3 linked regions of the Lytechinus pictus genome follow. The main gene of each other region encodes a partner of the protein of the gene in region 3 in a complex. Links are inferred from orthologs where the notes say so. Each region holds a gene or a part of one and is shown on either strand. Other genes may lie near its edges. The genes, in order: glucose-induced degradation protein 4 homolog, glucose-induced degradation protein 8 homolog and armadillo repeat-containing protein 8-like.

Region 1 (7,515 bases), on a different chromosome or scaffold from region 3:
TTATGGGATCGAAAAGGGGGCAATCAAGCTAGCTCTGTGCACTACGGACAGTCCGCGTGCACAGAGCTAGCTAACGGCCCCCTTTTCGATCCCATGATGCATTGCAGTTCTGATTAGCCAAAAAACATTATTTCCTGATTTTAGATATTGCAGGAGTGTTCAGACTGATTTGTCTATAATTAATTCTATTTCCATCCAGCAACAGACTATGCAGAATTGTAGATGCAGCAAAGTTGGTATAAAAAAACTAGAGGTCTAAGTCTAAGATTCTTGGCTTAAAAAGTTGACAATTGACTTATTTATTGTGTGCAGCAGTACCGGTATCGACTAGGGCAGGCCCTACGGCCTTTTAATTTATTTTTTTATTTAATTTTTTGCCATTATTAAACTTTAAAGAAATTCATTTTTTATCATCATGATCATGATACCTGTCAACATGTTCATTATCAAATTTCAAACAAAATCTAAGCATGCGCACCATGAGGAATCAATCCTGCTTCAACAACCCTGCTGATGACAAGCTCCTCGACCCACTGCGGTATGTCATCCACTTCACCTCGCGGGTACAGTCGTTCCTGTCCCGGTCCCTTCTTGGTCAGCTGCGAGCCGTAAGTGTAGCCCTCTCCAAAAAAGTACTTGTTGCGAAGGGGAGCTCGATCGACTGTATGATCTCGGTAGAGTCCCTTTGCGGCGATGTCCACGACCTCGTTGATTTTATCCTCGATCTCGCTGCATTCTTCTTCAGTGAAAAGTTGAATCTGAGACACACCGGAGTGAATCTTCTTCACTTCCTCCATTTCATCTTCGAATGATTTCGACTGCCACTGATGGTAGCGGTCACGTCGTCGTCTCTTTCGCCGCGATGTAAATGTAAAATCGGAGTCATCGCTGCTTGGCAGTCGACGATTCTGCTTGTGGTGACTCCGACGATGATGAGAGTCGAGCTTGAAACGTAAATCTGTCGACCCTGAAGCCATTCTCGTAAGATCTTTCACTCCGAACTGAGTTATGCCTTGTCAGAAATGTCAACATACCGTACCCTCGCGCGTGTACCGTAATTTCTGCGTGCATAGCTATGTACGTACGTACGATCGATCGACGAGATGATGTACTGAAATAACTGACTATAATTTCAGGAAATTTGATATTACTGATTTAATGATGCATGTTGAAATAAAAATATAATCACTTTAATAAAATAAATTTTACTTGAAAAATGACATTGATGTTAATATTTGTACATTAATATTGAAGAATAATTTAAATATTTTCTTAAATAAAAAATGAGCCTAAATTATATTCATGTAAGCATTTACAACTGATACTTATTCAAGATAGGCAACCTCAGCCGTAATATTTATAGTTAAAACTATTCGCTATTTTCAACGTCGGAATCGAATTCGGCCAAAATAAAACCAACCAGCCAAACTTGAATTCATCGTTCAGTGACTTGAACTTCGCTTGGGGCCGGGAGGGGGGGGGGGGGGGAGCCAGGGCAGAAATAAAATCCCATTCGATTACCCTACTTAGGGAATAATAGGGGGAGTGTGGGGCCACGACGTGTTCGAGTGGTTGCAACTCTCGTCTCTCAATCGGTGGGACGTGGGTTCGATGGCCAGCATTGCGTGTCGTGTTTTCCTATTTCTTCCTTTCACAAAAACATTCATACATAATTATGGTAGTTAAAAAAAACACGATAATAAAATAAAAAGCAAGTTAAAAGAAATAGATTGTCAGCGCTAAACATACATTGAGGTTGTTACATAACTCATATAATTTACATTACAGAGTAGGATTCTGGAGACAAAAGTTACAAAGCCTTTCTACCGTAGGCTTGTCAAGACAAGGTCTCCAATACTATAGATATTTAATATATTCAATTCAATTCAAGACTTTAATCCAGACACAGCTGCATATGCAGAGGTCCATATCATCAAATAACATACATGTAATATACATCAAGACAAACATACAAAGGTAATACTGGAATTAACAAAGAACAAATAAAGTATAAACAATCGAAAAGGAGAAAAACAAATCACAGATAATAATATAGGAACAAACAATGAATACCTAAAACAAGTGGTTAAGCAGTAAGTGAATAGTACAATGGAAATATTTACTTTGAATAAGACTACACATCTAAATCTACATATGGAAAGAAAAGAAAAGAAGGAAATACAGAGAGAAATTATCAAAAGAAGGAATGAGTATATATATGAATTTATATACAGAATGAAAAAGACATAAGGAAAGATAAGAGAGGGGTTATGAAATCAGGAGAAAGGGTTTATATAAGGCTGCGTTTATCCGACCTCAAGCCAGAATCGTGATTTGAATCATGATTGGAATCATGATTCAAATCACAAACATGAATCACAATTACTACAGAATCAGGGTTTAGACGACCTTCGTTCCAACGCTGTTTCTCCTCGGATTCGGACCGATCCAGTGCGCATCACAGTGCGCAGTTTGACCCAGGAAGTATAGGTCAACGTTGGACACTTAATTGGAGGTCGGCGACGTACATGTGATGTGACAACGTGGGGCGCGCGCCTTGGCAAGAACCGGAAATAGCTCGACACAATGACGTCATATAATCATGATTCAAATCACGATATCGTTTATCCGAACATTTTCGTACGTGATTCTGCAGAAACGTCTTTCCAAACGCCCTTTTTTTCGTAGTTCATGTTTGTGATTCTAATCATGATTATATTCAATTTCGACTAAACGCAATCGTGATTCTGCAGAATCGTGATTTGAATCATGATTGGAATCATGATTATAGGGTAAAAAAGTGGCGGATAAACGCACCCTAATAGGGAGAAAAGTCGTTGAGACGACAAAGAGAGATCGAGAGAGAGAGAGAGTTATATAGGGGAGGTGTAAGAAGTTGATAAGATAAACGCCAAAAGAGGAGAGGAAAAAAGAGGTGTACAACAAAAATCAAAGGACTATAATAAATAATCTATTTACACCGTATTTTAAAGAATTTCAGCATAACCTTTCAGCAAATGGAATTTCAGCTTATAATTATGTTTAAAGACCGACACACAATGACAGAATGAGTGTAACGGATAATGTATTCAGAGCTGACTGCAATTCTTACCCTTGGTATATGAAGAGCAGCTGCTTGTCCTTGTGTTATGATTATGAATTTGACCGTTTTTAATGGATAGTTGAGCCAATTCATTTGGAAGAGTACCATTTTCAAAATCATATATGACTGAATCTATAGCTGCAAAAGATAGATATCCTCTATCTTCAATATTACTGTGAAACAAAACATTAGTATGAGCACGATAACTAGCGAATTGCCGTTTTCTGTGCGATAAGTATCTTTTCTAATTTCAGCAATATTGTGCTGCATGCACTCGATCAACCCAGGGGAGGTGGGTGCAGGAAGGCCCTGATGAGGGCGCTGCAGGGGGTGCTGAAGCACCCCCAAGATTTTCCCCGGGGGTGCTGCGTTATTATTTTTCATAGACAGCACCCCCTTGCAAACGTGTGTATAAAATTTGAGAAATGTATGGAAAATTACCAAAATTTTGCGTTGAACCAAAGTTTTGCGACCCTTTTTTGCTTATCGAATTTCCTGGGACCAAACGGCCTTCAATTTGGAGGGGAAACCCTTTTTTTGGCTTGTATTTATTTTTTCAATTTAAAATGTCATTCAGCATCCCAACTCAAAATCGTTCCCAGGGCCCTGATGGTATACCCAGCAGGATTAATTCCTTAAAATGCACACAGCGCTGGGGTAATAACAATGCGCATCGGATATAGATTATAATAGATGGCGCAAATATATATATCAGTTTGCTGATTAGAAGGGACACTTTAAGGACTGATTTTAGGAATTCATGGAGAGCAGACATATCTCATCTCACCAATCCACAATGCGAACGTAATCACGGACAGGAAAATATATGAAGACCTTAACATGGGGAAACCACTTTTTGAGTCATGAAAAAGAAGCATATGTCACTACATAAACAATGATAACTGGAAGTGCTAGGAAATATATTTGGTTTATATTGACTTAGTGAAAACGGGAGGTTTTACATGATTATATATCTCGTTAAACAGAAAATGCGAGCACCAGGAACAATGAAGACATAGGCCCTGAGCAAATTATGTTTCATAAAGTTATGATGAAAACGTTTCTTATGTAATGTAACATAACATAATTATAATATACCAAATATAACATTATAATGAATAATATTTTCTTCTTTCCCAAGTACGTTTCTCTTCCTTTCTCCCTCTTTTCTCCTAAACATAACCCTACTACGGGCCAACCTAGTACAACTTGGACGAAAATAAGCCCAGAGCAATTATTGTCGCAAGAGCAAATGTCATATCATCGTTTATAGTAGAGTGCCCCCGCCCACCCCCCCCCTCCGATTTCCATAAAACGTTGACGTCTCAATAACGTTAACTGGATGGGTCGATAACACGGCGTGCGCGTGCGGGCGCGGCGCGAGATATTTTAGGACGATTGTACACGAGTCCCATATGCGACTGGATCGTATGTGAGCCGTCGTTCACTTTAATTTAACGTTCCTAAATTCAATGAAAATGCCTGGTGTTGTCGACGTTTATCCTCCACCGCCCCAAAACTGTTGCCAGCCAGGAGTTGCTCGATCTTTGCTTTATAGTGGTTCAAGGTTTCAAGGGCATCAGAAGAGCAAAGGCAATCGTTACGACGTGGAAGTCGAGTTGCAAGTGAGTAGATCTGCTGAGCTTGGGGAAATACCGGGAAGAGGACTTGTCCCTGCCCCAGAGACCCCGGCGTAGCGTGAAAGAAGGATACGGTGGCTAGCATAATGCCGGTGCCTGTGAATTGTGTGCATGTGATGGGGAAACCTTAATTTGTGCACATTTTCAAAATATCATGATATCTGAATTAAAGGCCCTATCATACTGGCACTGAGATTGAGATCAATTACACAAAGTGACAAACATAGTTTTATTATTTAAATAATTTTCAAAGGACAAGTCCACCCCAGAAAACTTGATTGGAAATTGAATGAAATGAATATTGAAATAGGGCCTAGGTCTAATTGAGCCAGGGCCCAGGCATAGTCAAATGTTAGACTCTAGTCTAGAGATCTAACGTTAACTATAGAAATAACAATTATTTTTTTTCTAAGAAAGTAATGTTAGAGGCTAGACTCTTGTTATTCCTCGTGCTAAAAATCATCAAATTCTGATAAAACTAAAAGAAGAAAGTTACAAAGTTTTATTAAAAAGTTAGCATTATTTCAAAGAACAATTTATGCAAAAAGCCAAAATGCTGGTCAGTATGTAAACAAGGGTTTTGGTGGTGTCACCCACTTATATTTATTTTGTATTTAATTTATTTATTTGACTATTAAAAAAGGTTTGTTACATGAATTATCAAATTAATCCCTCATAATGTGAAACATGGTTTGATTTTCCCTGAAAATTTCAAATTGCCTTTAAGTTGAATGTCATATTTGCAACTATTGAAATATTCTATGTTTCATAAAGAATAGTAAAAATACAAATAAATAGTGAGTCAGTGAGTGACATTGCCGACTCTTATGTTGTGTTTGTAGATCCTTAATCTGCATTCCTAAAATGGATCTTTAGATTATTATTATACATGAATTTCTTTGTAATTCCACAAAGTTTCCATCTGAATTTGAGCAAAATATATGAATTTCTTATGAAAAAAATTACCCGTAAATTAAAAAAAAAAAAAACCATCCCCCAAAAAATCAAAACCAAAATAAAACCAACGGTGCCCCATGCCTGCACACCAATTCTTTTTTCATATGTATCAGGGTTTTTTTTAATGTTCAGATGTGTAGCTTAAGTGGTGCAGCAAGTGATTTAACCCATGTGCTGAATTGAATCCAGGAAACATGATTGATACCACCTATTCACATGGATGTAAAATGCAATGGCCTCCTGAGTGGAGAAAAAAGGCTATGTAAATAAATCAATGCCATGAAACTTAATTTGGTTTGAGTTCATATAATGAAAAACAATTTTCTTTTCTAAACAAGCTTCATTCTTTGACAATTTCCTCACTGATACAGCATGTTGATGAAGAGAACAGCTACCTGTGTGGGTACTTGAAGATCAAAGGCCTGACTGATGAGTTTCCTGTTCTAGTAACTTTCTTTGAAGGGGAGATCATAGGGGAGAAATATCCATTTCTTACAAGAAAATGGGATGCAGATGAAGAAGTTGACAAGAAACATTGGGTAAATGAGACATGTAGTTTCACACTTAAATAATCCAGGAACAAAAATGTGGTTATCTGATCTGTATTATCTTCCATAGTTCCAAGCACTTTGGTAAATTCCTAGATGGAAAACTCCTATAAGTACCCTATAAGATGAAAAATACAAAAAGCAGGACATGGTTCAAAATAATCTACGAATTGATAGATATCACCTCATATCTTGAAAGTTTGAGCCCAAAGAAGGTCTTGCTCTGCTTCCTATTCAAACACTCTGTTTGCCTAGACAGTCATTTGCCTTAGTGCTGAGTAGAAATGTACTTTATGTTTTTTTTTTAAACTATGGAACATGTACTAAAATATCCTAGTAAGAATAAACTCTTCTATTTCCATATATTATGGCAAGTCCCATTTTTAAAAGGGCATTTGTTGGTATTACAATGCAAATGGGTGAATAATATAATGAGGACACAAAAAAATATATATATCCAAGGCCAGTGTGAAAGAGGCCATCCTATGGAAACTGAATGTCAGTAATGAAAATTTTATCTTTCAGACAGATAATGTGGCAAGAAGAGTGTTATTCTTCTTTATGAAATGAAAATGGAGGGGGGGGGGGTAATTAGCATTTTTATCATTGACCTTTTATCAAATATTGATCCTTCTTTTTATATGATTTGTAGTATACAGTAAATGGAATATGATTTCTATTTCTTAGTACATGTAGGTTATGGAATTGGTCTATGTTCCATTTCTGTAACTTTCTGGGGGTTTTATGTACCTGTTTAAAGATGTCATAATAATTTGTATTGATGACAGCTAGCCTTGCTAATTGTTGATCTGTATACAGTTATTCTCTTTGCAATCTGCTGTTTTTTATATTGTAATTGCAGGGTCAGTTTTTATCATTTTACCAATACACCAAGACTTTCAATCAAGACAACTTCAACTATGATGCCCTGAAAAACACAGATTATGTCTTCATGAGGTGGAAAGTATGTACTTAGATTTAGTTTAACTTCTTCGTTTTATTATGTTGTGATTTAGGCAGGCTGTTAGTAAATAATATGTATCGTATAAATTATAGGCCTATCTATCAGGAATAATTCAAATTTATTGATATTTCAGTGAATAATGACACACTGAAGCTCATCAATATTTGCCAAAGGAATAAAGCAAAATATATAATTTCCATATCTTTTCTATATCTGTATTGTTTTTAAATCCGGTTTAGTCCCCGACTACAGGGGTGGCTGAGCTAGTAGTTATATCATCTTTGCATGCTCGGGATTAAGTGC
Region 2 (7,976 bases), on a different chromosome or scaffold from region 3:
TATCATTCTTTTATTACAAGGAAAGCAGTGCAAGCTATTGAAAGCTCATCGAAATATATCCTAAAGCAGTTCAAAAAACTCAATTTTACGCGAAAAATCTCTATGTAAACAAAGTCGGCGAAAGCTATAACACGAAAGCTAGATTCGTAAACAATGCAATACACGCGTCGCTACTGTATGTGTGTGCACACAATTACAATTAAATGCGTTCCGTATGCATTGTGTGCGAACTGTGACTTGAGTCGTCGTTGGCAGTCCGCTGTATGTGCCACGAGTCGTCCGTGGCGGGCAAAGAGTTAAAAGATCCAAATAAATCAAGTACACATCCGACTTTATGCACTGTTGCCATAATTGTACGAGATAGCCACACCAGGCATTTGTACATCAACCAGCCAGATCCAGGATAATTAAAGCCTATTTTGGGCCACTAGCCTATGCTACAGTAATGAGTGTACAGTGAGGCATGATAGAACTTCAATTAGAAGTTCTAATTTTTGTGAATACAATCTTATTTGTTTTGCTACTTTCTCAGAAGTTTATATAGATCTTTTCAGAAGTTTAAATAGATCTAGGGAAAACCTGTAACTTTTAAGTACTTTTTCTTCTGTTACTTTTGTTTTAGGACTTGAACTTTGAAGATTTATTTTATGACAAATTAAGAGCTTTCTGAATTTTGTGGTCTAGATTCTAACTTAAGAACGTTACCGTAGACATATGGCAAGTAAAAGTTCCCCTAAGACAAGTCTGCGCAGTCTCCCTTGTCTGTGCACACGCGTTTCTCCGTGAAGAAGATACGCAATGAACACAAACTTTACACATGGCATGCAATACACACTCATCCCACTTGTTCACTGCAACCACCCTGCCTGTGGGGAATCTACAGGTTGGACTATGGCATGCCAATTACTTCTTGTGAAGGCCTCAAAATGCAGCCTTTTTCATAAAAATCCCTGAATCGCGTGCAAAGTGAATGGGTGCGCATAGCCTGGAGGCGTCTGGGGAGTGAAAGTAATATACTCTACGTATGGTCACTTCCCGAACGCCTGGCGTTTGTACATATAGGCTCCCACACACCGAAGAAAAATGCAACTATAAAAATGCGCCAAACTGCTAGTTATGTTTAGAATCTGAAGTTAAAACTTCTGTAAATGGGTAAAAATATTGGTTGGCAACGTTTGGCAAAAAATGGATAGTTATGGTTACAAAATGACGCCAAAATGACATGAAGTAATAAAAGTAGAAGAGAGTTTACTTACACTTGTTGACATCGCCATCTTTGATCCTTTGTTAATGCAACCTAGTTACGTGACGCGTATAGAGGGCGGCAAAATCATGAGCGGTGCTAGATTAAAAAGTGCTAAAATGTCCCGCTTCAACCACTGAACTAGAAATACGTGGAAGTCATGTTCACCCAAGCAAAACATCGCCGGCGAACTCGATAAGTCACGTGACCGCCGCCATTTTGCTAGGTCAATTGTTCGAGAACGCGCCGTAAAAGGCAATTGAAAGATATGTTTTCTCTATGTATTTCTAGTTCAGTGGTTGAAGCGGGACATTTTAGCACTTTTTAATCTAGCACCGCTCATGATTTTGCCGCCCTCTATACGCGTCACGTAACTAGGTTGCATTAACAAAGGATCAAAGATGGCGATGTCAACAAGTGTAAGTAAACTCTCTTCTACTTTTATTACTTTATGTCATTTTGTAACCATAACTATCCATTTTTTGCCAAACGTTGCCAACCAATATTTTTACCCATTTACAAAAGTTTTAACTTCAGATTCTAAACATAACTAGCAGTTTGGCGCATTTTTATAGTTGCATTTTTCTTCGGTGTGTAGGAGCCTATATGTACAAACGCCAGGCGTTCGGGGAGTGACCATACGTAGTCGTAGAGTATATTACCGTATGGGTACTAGTATTCAACCCGGCATAATTCAAAGATTTTGACATATTCCCCAAAATATTTAGAAATAGGGAATTTATCTTAATTTCATACCTTTGTTATTTCCAGGGTAATCTGTTGTCGATATTTTCTTTGTCAATCTGTCGACTGTATGCGCGGAGGATCGAATTATGCGGCGATGGCCTTTTGCACTGAATGGTACTAGTATTCAACCTAGTGAGGATTGATAGCAAATCTCAAAAGGGTTTAGATTGCTAAATTAGATCTAGATCTATGTAAGTCTCTGGCTTTGATTAATTCCCTGTTTGGTCTCATCTCAAATGGTCTAGTCCATAGTCGGATGGGACAAGAGCAGATTGAGAGACAGGGCCATCTTTCATCGCTAGGTTGAATACTAGTGCCGACGGGTTGAATACTAGTACCAAAATCCGTCGCCGTATAATTCGATCGCCCGCGCACACAGTCAACTTGTTGAAGAAAAAAATAACGGAAAAAGAATAACCAGCATTTGCTCTTGGAAATAAGACGGGTCTGAAATTCAGGTAAATTCTATATTTCTATAAATTTGAGGAAACTCTCCAAACGGGTTGAATACTAGTGCCCTTACGGTACTTTCACTCCCCAGACGCCTCCAGGCTAGGTGCGCAGACATGGGGCACCTTTTTTTGTTCAATCTGAAACTAAAGTAAAGTGAAAATGGTGGCCTGAGCTGAGGTTTTTTCCAAGTAAATCATATATTTCTTTCAAATTTTTATAAGATATTTGGCACACTAACTCTAATTGATGTAAGGAACATTATCTACTGAAATGTTTTGTGAAATAAAAAGAAATTCATGTTAAATCTTAACTCAAATCGTTAGGTTTCCCAGGCTTGGGGACCACTATCATAGTTCATACATCAAAATTTCATCCGTATGGGACTGAACAGACATAGCCTTGGCTTAATTCTGAGATTAGTGAGTGAGAATCGCAGGTATACTGTGAAAATCAGTCAAATAATGTGTTCTATACATACCATGATTTCGCAGTTGAAGTATATATTTGGCTTCCGAATATTTTCTACCTCTGCTTTATTAAAATATGTAATTTAGAAATCTCGGCAGTTTATTTTGATGCTTGCCTTTGTGCGAAACGTCTTTGATTGACGTTCTCTTTCAGCTGATGATTATCGATCACCGGCACCAAGTACCATGTACCAGCTGCAGCTGCGCTGCGCTGGCGAACTGCACAATTTTTATCTGAATAACGCACCCCCCCCCCCCCGGCCCCCGGCCCGCGCCCCATGCATAGGCGGCGGAAGCGGGGGGGGGGACGGGGGGACCTGTCCCCCCTAAATTTGAGGTGGGGGACGCTCCCCCCCCCTAAATTAATATTTGATAACCTTTTTTTTTTTTTTTTTTTTTTTGCTTGTCAATTTTGTTTCCTGCGTGGTCCCCCCTAAAATTTTGGTTGATAACCTTTTTTTTTGCTTGTCAAAAAATTTGGGTGGTCCCCCTCTAAATTGTTTGGCTTCCGCCGCCAATGGCCCCATGCATGGATGCCTGTGCGCGGCCGGCGGTGCGGCTCAAAGATGGGAAGAAAAAGAAAAAAGAAGAAATGAGGAGGGGGGGGGGAAGGCGAAAGTGAAAAGGAGGAAGAAAATGGAGTAAAATAAGGGGGTAAGAAATGGAAAAAATAGGAAAAATTTCTGCTCGCGCTTTGAGGTTTCATGAATTTTATGAGATTACTGTTCATATTGTAAAAATCTGTCATAAAATTTGATTTCTGTAATAAAAATGTCAATTTTTTGCTTGCTCGCTTTGCTCGCTCGAACATTAAAAAAAAAATCTGCCCGATATATATATATATATATATATATAGTGTGAAAGAAATGGATGAGGAGAACAATGGTAGACGTAGCTTAAATCAAGGTTCCCCAGAGCTGGCCTTTGGAAAAATTGGTGATGACGAAAAAATGTCTCTGCCGGGAATCGAACCCGGGTCCCAGATAGCTCTGGGGAACCTTGAGATAAGCTACGTCTACCATTGCTCTCCTCATCCATTTCTTTTACACAATATTTAAATAAAAGAGTTGCCAAAGTTGTTGTACATATAAACCTCACACATTTATATATACATCCGATATACATGTTTATAGTATACAGTGCATCCCAGAAAAAACGAAAGCGAGATTTATCGATGATTTATCATAACTTAATCACAAATAAATTAGACAAATGGTCTACCATTGTAAAGCTTAGAATCTCCTCTTTCATCTGAAATTACTTGGATTATTTCTCATTCACGCATGAGTGAGCAAAAACAAATTGAAGAGAGGATACCAAAAAGTAACTTGGCGGGCTGTTTCTAGGTTTCAAAAAGTAAATCACATCTTTAAAAAGTTCAATATCTGCTCTTTAATTTAATACCTCAATTACAGAAAATGGTCAAGAAATAACAAAGTTCTGGATATTTGAATTTCAACAATTTCATAATTTGACTTACAGGCTATAGCGTCCAGACTCTTGTTGACGATCAGCCTTTTGTTAACCGTGAGATAGCTTCTGTAGGAAACCGGTGAAAACATGTTTATTTAAATAAAATTATGGAAATACAGGTCAAGTCCACCCCAGGAAAATGCTGACTTAAAAAAATAGAGAAAAATCCAACTAGCATAGTGCTGAAAATTTCATCAAAATCGGATGTAAGATAAGAAAGTTATGACATTACAAAGTTTCGCTTATTTTTCACAAAACAGTGATATGCACAACTAGGTGAGTCAGTCGATGATGTCCATCACTCACTATTTCTTTTGTTTTTTTATTGTTTGAATTATACAATATTTCATTTTTTTGAGATTTGACAATAAGGACCAACTTGACTGAAACATTTAGTATTAAACAATGCTAATATGCCACATGTTCAAAGAATTAATCGTTGTATCACTTGCCAATGAGGAGAAAATTAGAATATTTCATATTTGACATAATGAAATACAAAAGAAATAGTGAGTGGATGACGTCATAGTCTCCTCATATAACTGTTTTGTGAAATTCAGCGAAACTTTCAAATGTCATAACTTCCTTATTTTACATCCGATTTTGATTAAATTTTCAGTGTTATGCTTGTTGGATTTTTCTCTTTTTATTCAAATCAACTTTTTATTGGGGTGGACTTGTCCTTTAAATAAAAGAGCAGATATTGAACTTTTAGGCATGTGATTTTCTTTTTGAAATTCAGATACCCCCGCCAAATGAGTTTTTGGTATCCTTTCTTCAAGTTGTTTTTGCTCACTCATGTGTGCATGGGTGTCGATCACGGGGGGGGGTGGGGGATATATCCCCCCCAATATTTCAAGTGGGGGGGGGTGGCCTGTATTATCATCCCCCCCAATAATTTAGGGTAGAAAAATTATAATAATGATGATGAAAAAATGAAAAGTTTGATCATGATGATTATAGTGATGATTATAGTATGCCATCAATCAGTTTGTTTCTCTCACAATTTGTGTATATTGTTATTAAATAAAAACATTCTTTTTCAGGACTATTAAACAGATGGGTGGAGGTTCAAGATGAAAAAGAATGAAATGTTTATGTATATGAAATTTTTTAACACATAACATAAAAGGACCCCAACGAAAAAAGACTTTTGGTGTTCCATCCCACCAATGGTGAATAAATTAATTTTAATACATTAATTAATTCAAAAGGGTGGAACAATAAACGGGAGTAAAAGGGTGGCAAGATAAATCGTCTAAGGAATGACCATATAGATATTACAGTAATAGCTCTATGGAATGACGGTAAGCCCGATGGCGCACGAGAAGCCACACAGTTTGTAATTTGTGCTAGTCTTAATTGGTCCGAATCTGCATGTTATCATCATGCATTAAGAAAAAAGATATTGCCAGTCGGGTTAGATTTAAGAGAGAAGTTGTATACACAAAGGCGTCGATCGGGGGGGGGGGCAGGGGGGGGCGATCGCCCCGCCAATGAAAATATTTGGGGGAACATATCGTTTTGCCCCCCCTCCCAATAATTCCGCATGTGCAACTAAAAATAAAATAAGATTGTAATGCTACACTGAAACCAGCAAGCGAGATTGAGATACCAACTCGATTTTGATTTAAAATCGTGCTCAAAATGTCTGCTTTTCAGATTGGAATATAAAAAATTTCAGCTCGCGCTTCGCGCTCGCATCATTTCTGTACCAAAACCCCATACTTTTCATGATTAAATAGGTGAATAGAATGTCCCTTTTTCAGTTCTATACCTCAAAAGAACACCCGCTTCGATTTGCAATAATCTTTTGTTGGATATATATCTTGTTCTTTATTAAAAGCGTCCATTAAACTGTCTTTTTTCCAGATCGAAATATCAACATTTTCAGCTGGCGCTTTGCGCTCGCATCTATTGTTCTTCTAGATACCCATCTTAATAATTGGTACCAAAAATGCTTAGAATATCAAGCTTTCACGTCAGAAATAAAGAAATTTGAGCTCGCTCTCTAGTGAGATACATGTATCTATGCTCCTCATGAGTTACTACAAACAAACCTAAACAGGTACATTTTTCCTGTTTTCATGTCATACTAAAAAATTTCAGCTCGCGCTTCGCGTCGCATGTTGAATGTTGATTCATGATTTTGCCCCCCCCCCCCATCTGAAAAATGGATCGACGCCCCTGTGTATACATCATGCTCAATAAACTATGAACATGGTCCAGACAATTTGTCATTTTTTCTTTCGTATGAGTTTAGAATAGGCTTACTTGTAACACAAATTGAATTTTCAAAAAATAAATATAAGTACACTATAACAATGAAGGAATTTACAAGAACACCATGCATATCAATCACTCCCAAATGTCCTAACTTGTGATTTTAGTGGGGTAATGTTGAAAGATCTCCATCCACAAGAACTTTTGTGTCAATCATCCCCCCCAACCAAGAATACCGATCGACACCCATGCATGTGTGAATGAGGAATAATCTAAGTAATTTCAGGTAAAAGAGGAGATTCTAAGCTTTACATTGGTAGGCCATTTGTCTATTGTATTTATGATTAAGTTATGATAAATCATCGCTAAATCTCGGTTTCGTTTTTTGTGGGACGCACTGTATATATATATATATATATATATATGTATATATATATATATATATATATGTATATATATATATATATATATATATATATATATATATATATATATATATATATATATATATATATATATATATATATATATATATATATATATATATATATATATATATATATATATATATAGGACTACAGTCAGTCTGCAAGCCCCTCTGTTAATGAGCAAATGAGCAAGATTTATCCAAGTCCTCTCGTGGTTGAATTCATGTCCCTGCAAAATCTCGTGAATTGTGAGACTTTGTTCCTCAAAGAGTTTAACCACTTTTTCTTTGAGTAAAATTGATTATTTTTGTACCATATGAAAGAGTAAACGTTACTCTTTTATACTGATCATTTCTTTTGAATAAAATATTTTGATAAATAAGTGAGTTTTAGGCATGAATAGATGCCTCAAACGGATTTGTTTTCCTCTCTTTTCTCTTGCAAATTGTGCAAAATTTTGTGTTTTAGGCACAAACATTATTTATATCTCTATAAAAACTCTTTACTTTCTTACTATGTGACTCTTGATAGGTGGCACCTTAATTTTAGATGTGTCAGCAGCCATCAGCTTTTTCCAACAAAATGCAACTAGACGAGATTTCTGAAATTTCTGAGTAGCATAAAATCCACGCAGAGTTCTGATTCGGGTTGAATAATGTTTTCAAAACAACAGGCGCGGGTAATTTGAAGAGATTACCATATGGTGAGTGTGACCTTGCTGAGGCCCAGTGCGGGAACATTGGAATTTGCGTGGGTGTGTGGTCTCTATGACCAATAAGAGCGCAGTATTCTGGTTTTTAAACTGCTAAATGTACTTGGCCTATGAAAAGCTGCATGGCTGCTGACCCATCTAAGATACCTCTTCTTATAAAAATTATATCATATTAAAGCTTAGATCTTCAGCTTTATCATAATCTAAAAATTATTTGAGCCCAACCAGAA
Region 3 (7,579 bases):
AACCTCCCGCATGAAAATGTCATTATTTATTTACTCTCCATCACCACGTATAAATATTAATGCGCTGCCGACTTCGAAACATCGAATGCGGGAGGTACCGGGTCTGGTCCGAGCTCGGACCCTCGCGCGCATGCGATGTTCTGAAATCGGCAGCGAATTATTACGTGTGAGGAACTTCATGTTGGCTCTAAATCATCAATTTTGAGACTGATAGAAGCATGGAAAAGATTAGACAGGAATAACCGTCGTTTCTGGGGATTTATTCAACAATTTCTGACATTTTACTGTAATCCCCATTTACCGACGGTAGGGTGTACGTGTGGGCTCGCATGTGTTCTCATTCCCTCCCTTTTGTCAATTCACAGTCCAAAGTTTGATGTAATTTTACACATCGAATTTACAATCTAAGGATGTATAAACAACAAACTTTTAAAACTTGATATTCCAATATTTAAATACTTTAAACGATATAGATGAAAAAGGCATGAAAATTATACTTTACCGATGTTTAATTGGGTTGAACACGATAAAAATGGTCAAAATGGCAGCCAAACTATAAAATATTTACAAACGAAACGTCAACAATCACGATTGTGATATCGATATTGCTTTCGATATTATACGATCTGCTCCATATGCGAACGAAACCGAAGATAAACGATACTAGTTATACTAGTACTAGTACTAGTCAGTAGAGGCGCATGGCCAATATGGAAGACTCTCTCCAATAGGGGAGACAATCTCCCACATTGGAGACTTGCTTTGCAAAAGGACAAAAGAAACAACACCAACAAAAGCATGATTTTTTCCACCCAAAATTTTGTCTCACTGAGGTCAGAAGCCCATTTGTTTTGTGTGTGATTGACAACAAAAATCCTTATCAAAACAAAAGTAGACGGTGAATTTTTAAAGTAGACGGTGAAAAGGGGTAATTTTTCATGAGGAATCTGCTTATCACATTTTTATTTGCCGCCAAGTTAATCCTTTTGCAGCAAATGTAAACAAAGGAAATTGGACCCCAAAACTGGAGACTGTCTCTGAAATTGGATACCTAAATTCTTTACAAAAGTCCCTGATATTGGAGATAATCTCCCACATTGGAGACAGTCTCCAATATTGGCCGTGCGCCTCTACTGCTAGTTATAATCGCGATATATCGATTCGAGACATTAAGTTAATACGATAATGACGTCATTCAAGGTGGCAACTTGCAAGAAAAACCGTCAGGTCAGGTGAAAATGTCTTAGATGACAGATTTCTCAATCATCCAGAGGATTTTTTTCAATAACTCCGGCCCAAGGTATGCAATTACTTAAGTTATTTATATTTCCCTGATAATGGAAACCATGAAACTTTCAATTTTGCTTAAAAAACAGTTTTAAATCGCGATCTATAAAACGCTAGTTCACTATGTATACGTTGGCTGTAGGTACGGGGCCCCATCCCCTTCAGTCTATGTATGGTGAGTGGAGCCAACTTAGTTCAGCGGAACAACCAAAATACAGAGACTGAAGCTTTTGGTCTAGGAAAAGATGTGAAACTTTGTGTAAAGTAAGAATATTAGTTGTACTTGTTTTTAAAGATCGTGATGTTGCATGAATTTTGTATTTTCTCCCCATAATTTATAAAATCCCACCTTTTGTCACTCGGAATATCCGATCGAGTTCATGGTCTCGAAGTTCGGGTAGGTGGAGTGTAGTGTAGTGGTAGTGAAGTGGAGTGGAGCCTGCACGAACTTCGCTCGAGGTAGGGAGAAACTAGACCAAAAGCTTCAGTCTCTGTATTTTGGTTGTTCCGCTGAACTACGTTGGCTCCACTCACCATACATAGACTGAAGGGGATGGGGCCCCGTACCTACAGCCAACGTATAGTGAACTAGCGTTTTATAGATCGCGATTTAAAACTGTTTTTTAAACAAAATTGAAAGTTTCATGGTTTCCATTATCAGGGAAAATAAATAAATTAAGTAATTGCATACCTTGGGCCAGAGTTATTGAAAAAAATCCTCTGGATGATTGAGAAATCTGTCATCTAAGACATTTTCACCTGACCTGACGGTTTTTCTTGCAAGTTGCCATCTTGAATGACGTCATTATCGTATTAACTTAATGTATCGAATCGATATATCGCGATTATAACTAGTACTAGTACTAGTATAACTAGTATCGTTTATCTTCGGTTTCGTTCGCAAATGGAGCAGATCGTATAATATCGAAAGCAATATCGATATCACATTCGTGATTGTTGACGTTCGTTTGTAAATATTTTATAGTTTGGCTGCCATTTTGACCATTTTTATCGTGTTCAACCCAATTAAACATCGGTAAAGTATATTTTTCATGCCTTTTTCATCTATATCGTTTAAAGTATTTAAATGTTAAAACATCCAGTTTTAAAAGTTTGTTGTTTATACATCCTTAGATTGTAAATTCGATGTGTAAAATTACATCAAACTTTGGACTGTGAATTGACAAAAGGGAGGGAATGAGAACACATGCGAGCCCACACGTACACCCTACCGTCGGTAAATGGGGATTACAGTAAAATGTCAGAAATTGTTGAATAAATCCCCAGAAACGACGGTTATTCCTGTCTAGGGAGAAACATGCTCAAAGTCGGCCGGTGCGAAACTGCATTAGCGCCCCTTTCTAATCCTGTCCCGGGTTCAACCGCAAGCGCCACGGGGGTCGCTTGGCCGGCTCGGCCCGGCTCAAGGGGCTGGCAGCACCAGGCAGAGGGTCATGCCCCCAAAAAAAGTCCGAAAGCGAAAGCAAGCGCCGAAATATATGTCATTAGTCTATCTTTGTTCGCATCAAATATATCGACACTTTGATTACATTATTTTTCATTGATGTCTTACTCACCATAGCTGCAATATTTCTTTTCAATTCAAAAGCCCAGCTCAACTGTAAAATAAACGATAAATGATAATTCAGAGTGTCGGAAAGTGTAACTGTAAGTTGTTAACGTTTGCAGCAAGATCGTGAAGCTAGCAGACTGAAAACTGGTACGGTACGTACGTACGTACCGGTATGGTATACGGTACGGTACCGTTTTAAAATATTATGGTAGGCCACCTCCCACCTCATCAAACCCTAAAATCAAGGAGCTTGAAGCTCCCTGCTAAAACATTCACTGGATTGTGGTGGTACATACAGATATATTCCAAGTCTATTTTGCTTTAATTTATTTTATTTTACTCTACTCTACTCTAGCTACTCTACTCTACTCTACTTTACTCTACGTCCCGGCCCGGGGGGCCACTTACATGCATTGACGAGTGGATACCATGCGCGACCAAAAAAACACGTAAAAAGGATGTCTTTTTCAAGATAGGGCACGTTACGTACAGGGGCGTAGACAACGGGGGGGATGAGGGGGATGCATCCCCCCCACATCACAAGGTGGGGGGGATGGCATGTACAATCATCCCCCCCAGGTTTTGGGGAATGATATTTGGTTACTTAATAAGTCATAATGATGATAATAATAGTAATAATAATAATGATAACAATTATAATATTAATAATAATAATAATTATGATGATGATAATAATAATCCTCATCATTATTGTAATTGTGTTTATTGTTATTAGCCGCATTCACACGGTGAAAGCCAATTCAGACGGTAAAAAAAAGAAAATCTTACAAGTATTTACTGGGCAGGAACGAAAAGAGGCGCAAGATATTTGGTTTCTAAGACACAAATTTGCAAGACTACAAAAGTAAAACTGACTAAGAGACCGATATGTTTGTTTGTTGAGCCATGAATGCTCCTTAAAGGAGAATGAAACCTTTGGAGCAAGTTAGCTTTTGTGAAAGCAAAAAAATCAAAGAATAAGATCAACAAAAGTTTGAGTAAAATAGGACTAGCAATAGAAGAGTTATGAGCATTTGAATGTCGAGATCACTTATGCTATGGAGATCCTTCCATTGGCAATGCGACCAAGATCTATGATGTCACAGATGAACAACTCTCCCCTTTTGGACACTGAAAATATACCCCAAAACATCTCTTTTTGCTCATTCTAATCATATATGACAAACGATTCATCAATGATATAATGTTGTGAAACCTCTATACTTTTCCTCTCATAAAGAGAACACCTCACCTTGTGATAGACTCTATAAAAGTGAGAATACAAGTGAAATAAGTACTAAAGTAATGAGGAAGTTGTACGTGTGTGACATCACAGATCTTGGTCGCATTGCCAATTGGAGGATCTAGATGGCATTAGTGATCTCAATATTCAAATGCTCATAAATTTCTTATTATTTATTCAATCTTCCTCAAACTTTCAACAATATGTTTCTTTGATTTTTCTCTTTGATATGGATTCAGTTGGTTTCAAGGGTTTCATTCTCCTTTAAGTAAGTTTACCAACTTACCGCATGTCTCTATTATCTGATTAGCAACTGTTAATCAAGCTGTTTTTGGTATGGGAATGAAGCAACAACTCTTTTCTTTTCATCGAGACTTTTCAGGCACGAACCGAGTACTAGCAATACCTTCTCATATATGATATGTATTATATTTATTTATGTATTTATTAGTTTATATCAGATTATATTACAGGTATATGATATTTATACATATATATATACATTATATGCATTTATTTATTTATTTATTTATATATTTATATACACGTTATTTTCTCAAGTCGGTTTTTATTGAAATACATGTGTGGTCTGGCCCACTCGTGTTATAGGCATTATACATTGTGTGCAAAATGCATCAGCGCAATCTAAAACAGAATAGAAAATGAATGTGATACAACAGTATACATAATAATTCGTGACAGAGAGTACCATACTACTATCTTTATAACAAGTATTATTCAAACAAATATATATAATTATGTATAATCATGAATTGTTCAACTTCATGCTCCCACTATATGACTATTGTTACACTAATACTGATATCAGGACTGACTGGTATATATTAGTTTGTTGTTAAGCTTGCAGCAGCTACATCTTTTCTGTATTGTTAACTATTTATTTATTTTTGTTTTATTTAAGATGCACTTTGTTTTGTATTCATCTAAAGTATGTTGATTGATGCATGAAGACATAAGTTTGAAATGTTTAAAGAAGTATGTTTCATGTAAAGCGCAGTGTGAATTTACCCTGTCTTGAAATGCGAGATAAAAGGAACCTATTAGTATTAGCATTATTATTTGTATTAGTATTATTTTTTATTTGTATTATTATTATTATTATTATTATTATTATTATTATTATTATTATTATTATTATTATTATTATTATTATTATTATTATTATTACTATTATAAGACTGAGATCAAATAGAAGTAAATAATGCCCTAATTTGAAACGATGCAATGCCGTTATGGTTCCGATTTCTTCACAAACTTACAGAGCAGTATTGTTACTCCATGGATCATAGTGATACTGTTTATGTTTTTTGTATCTGTATGTTAATGAGCCGCCAGCCAATATCCATCTATGGATACTATGCCTGTTTCTTTGAGGTAAAAAAAGCATAGTATGTACGTATTCATTATGCTTTATAATGAACAGACATATTGTTATTTGTTTGTTGTTTATGTGTTCTATTCACAAATGGCCACAGAGGCTGTTTTCATTCATAACCACATACCCATATCAACAAAGACTATACCTGCGTTTACACAGTTGACATTGTTTTTTTTTTCTGAAGAGGTGTAACAGCAAAATTCACAGAGATAAATAAATACGTAGTGTGGTTCAATATGCAATACTTTGTGTCAGTCCATTCTGTATTCGTATGCCACGGTGTGTAGATCTTGTCGATGTATGTCTGTCCATTCAAGGCGTAGTATGTGTGTGGTGCGCGCACCCGTGTGTGTGTGTGTGTGTGTGGGGGGGGGTGAGTATGTGTGTGTGTGCGTGCGCGCTTGTGTGTGTTATTTTACCTCATTAAGTATGCATCAGATTGCACGATTTCAAGTTCAAAATTGCAAAAGCTCCCTACCGTGGGAGGGGGGACACCCCCCTCCCACACCCTCCCCCCGCTCGGTCGCTTCGCTCCCTCGCTAGCGTTGGCAGCCCAGTCATCCCCCCCAGGTGTACGAACCTGTCTACGCCACTGGTTACGTACGTAACGTGATAAGGGTGTCAAAACACAAAAATAATGAAAAAAGGGTATCTATTTCGCTTGCGAAGCTACGGAGTTAGGGTCAAATTTGCGGGAATGATAAAACAAAATTAAAATGTTTTATAATTAAAGGATGTCCTTTTTGCCCCAACACGTGTAGAGTCCGATTCGCGCGAGGTGTGGACAGTGAGGCCGAAACTGTGTAAAGGTAAAACCGACGACCGACGGACCCGTGACATAACAATAAAATATCGCTGTACTTGTTTAGGGGTTCATTTCAGGGAACACTTGCCAAGAGTATCGTTTTGTTTCCAATTTAAGGGTATAGGGTTTGAGACGCCAATACTTGTTAAGAGGTGCATTTTCAGAATATGGAAAATACGTGTTTAGGGTGCTTTTCGAGACCCCATGGTCGCGCATGGTATCCATTCGTCAATGGAAGTGCCCCCCCCCCCGGGCTCTATACGCACTCTACTCAACTCTACTCTTCTCTACTCTACTCTACTACACTCTATACTCTACTCAACTCTACTCAACTCTACTCTTCTCTACTCTACTCTACACTACGTACGTACTCTACTCTTCTCCCGACTCGACTCTACTCTTCTCTTCTCTACTCTACTCTACTCTACTCTACTCTACTCGATCTACTCTACTCCGAGAGGCTCCCGAGTCTACTCTACATAACTCTACTCTACTCTTATTTCTACTCTACTCAACTCTACACTTCTCTTCTCTACTCTACTCTACTCTACTCTACTCTACTCTACTCTACTCTACTCCCGACTCTACTCTTCTCTTCTCTACTCTACTCTAGCTACTCTAGTATACTCTACTCTACTCTACTCAACTCTACTCTTCTCTACTCTACTCTACTCTATAATAGTACAGGTACATACTCTACTCAGGGACCTGGGAAGCGGGGGTGCTGGGGGTGCTGCGTGTATTATTTCCCATAGGCAGCACCCCCACGAAATCAGGTTCCCCCCTGTATTTTTTAAAATATGTTATAATGTACATAATTAGCACATCCGACACAATCGCAAATCATTTACATAATAGCATTTCACATATTCCAATAACATCCATCCTATAACGCGACTCAATCAAGCTCCGGCATTCCGATACAGACGTGGTCGCACGCTATATATACCATAGTTTACGCACTACTCGATAGCAGGGAGGGACATAATAAGGGTGTGGTTGGACTTGACACAATGACACTTCCAGGTTTTATGTCGAATCAAGTGTGCGCGTGCCCGACCGCCCATGTTTTGTATAAACTATTACAAGTCAGACAATAGAAATCAAATTTCACAGTCTTTTTCGCCCTGCCCCATGGCCCTGGGAAGCGGGGGTGCTGGGGGTGAAGCACCCCCAAAATTTGGGGGTGCTGCATGTGTTATTTTCCATAGGCAGCACCTCCTGGAAAGCTATAGTAGTAGGTATGATAAATGACAAAATTTAATTTAAATG

The links.
Region 1: the proteins of armadillo repeat-containing protein 8-like (region 3) and glucose-induced degradation protein 4 homolog are in contact, whole or in part, in a cryo-EM structure (PDB 7NSC), measured with the Homo sapiens proteins. The link is inferred for Lytechinus pictus from reciprocal best matches to the Homo sapiens genes ARMC8 and GID4. Residues at the interface, in NP_001350870.1 of Homo sapiens: Glu309, Pro310, Asp311, Val312, Asn371, Glu373, Arg406, His409, Arg413, Ser414, Val415, Gln416, Arg419, Thr420, Gln423, Asp424, Val444, Ser448, Cys451, Asn452, Leu455, Phe457, Ala483, Val486, Asn487, Trp490, Met493, Asn494, Phe497, Gln498; in NP_076957.3 of Homo sapiens: Leu104, Ile105, Pro106, Pro107, Pro108, Pro109, Ile110, Gln114, Pro115, Gly116, Val117, Ala118, Thr119, Gly125, Gln146, His147, Tyr154, Cys156, Tyr158, Phe174, Glu176, Phe239, Val241, Pro242, His244, His292, Ser293, Ala294, Pro295, Ile296.
Region 2: the proteins of armadillo repeat-containing protein 8-like (region 3) and glucose-induced degradation protein 8 homolog are in contact, whole or in part, in a cryo-EM structure (PDB 7NSC), measured with the Homo sapiens proteins. The link is inferred for Lytechinus pictus from reciprocal best matches to the Homo sapiens genes ARMC8 and GID8. Residues at the interface, in NP_001350870.1 of Homo sapiens: Asn45, Val47, Ile48, Gly49, Asn50, Val85, Ser89, Met92, Arg127, Arg130, Arg161, Tyr162, Tyr166, Leu200, Ser201, Tyr202; in NP_060366.1 of Homo sapiens: Ile83, Ala84, Asn87, His90, Pro91, Glu92, Leu94, Asp95, Thr96, Tyr101, Tyr183, Glu184, Asn185.

What each region holds. Positions count from the first base shown.
Region 1 is NC_087254.1:30,551,205-30,558,719, reverse strand, and holds the start of glucose-induced degradation protein 4 homolog, read left to right. Parts: upstream 1-4,418; 5' UTR 4,419-4,575; coding exon 4,576-4,728; intron 4,729-6,071; coding exon 6,072-6,239; intron 6,240-7,110; coding exon 7,111-7,212; intron 7,213-7,515. Other genes in the region: RNA demethylase ALKBH5-like, read right to left, coding at 479-977.
Region 2 is NC_087246.1:44,406,107-44,414,082, forward strand, and holds the start of glucose-induced degradation protein 8 homolog, read right to left. Parts: upstream 3,084-7,976; 5' UTR 2,925-3,083; coding exon 2,922-2,924; intron 1-2,921. UniProt on the Homo sapiens protein: Core component of the CTLH E3 ubiquitin-protein ligase complex that selectively accepts ubiquitin from UBE2H and mediates ubiquitination and subsequent proteasomal degradation of the transcription factor HBP1.
Region 3 is NC_087245.1:23,728,746-23,736,324, reverse strand, and holds the start of armadillo repeat-containing protein 8-like, read right to left. Parts: upstream 3,007-7,579; 5' UTR 2,868-3,006; coding exon 2,865-2,867; intron 1-2,864. UniProt on the Homo sapiens protein: Component of the CTLH E3 ubiquitin-protein ligase complex that selectively accepts ubiquitin from UBE2H and mediates ubiquitination and subsequent proteasomal degradation of the transcription factor HBP1.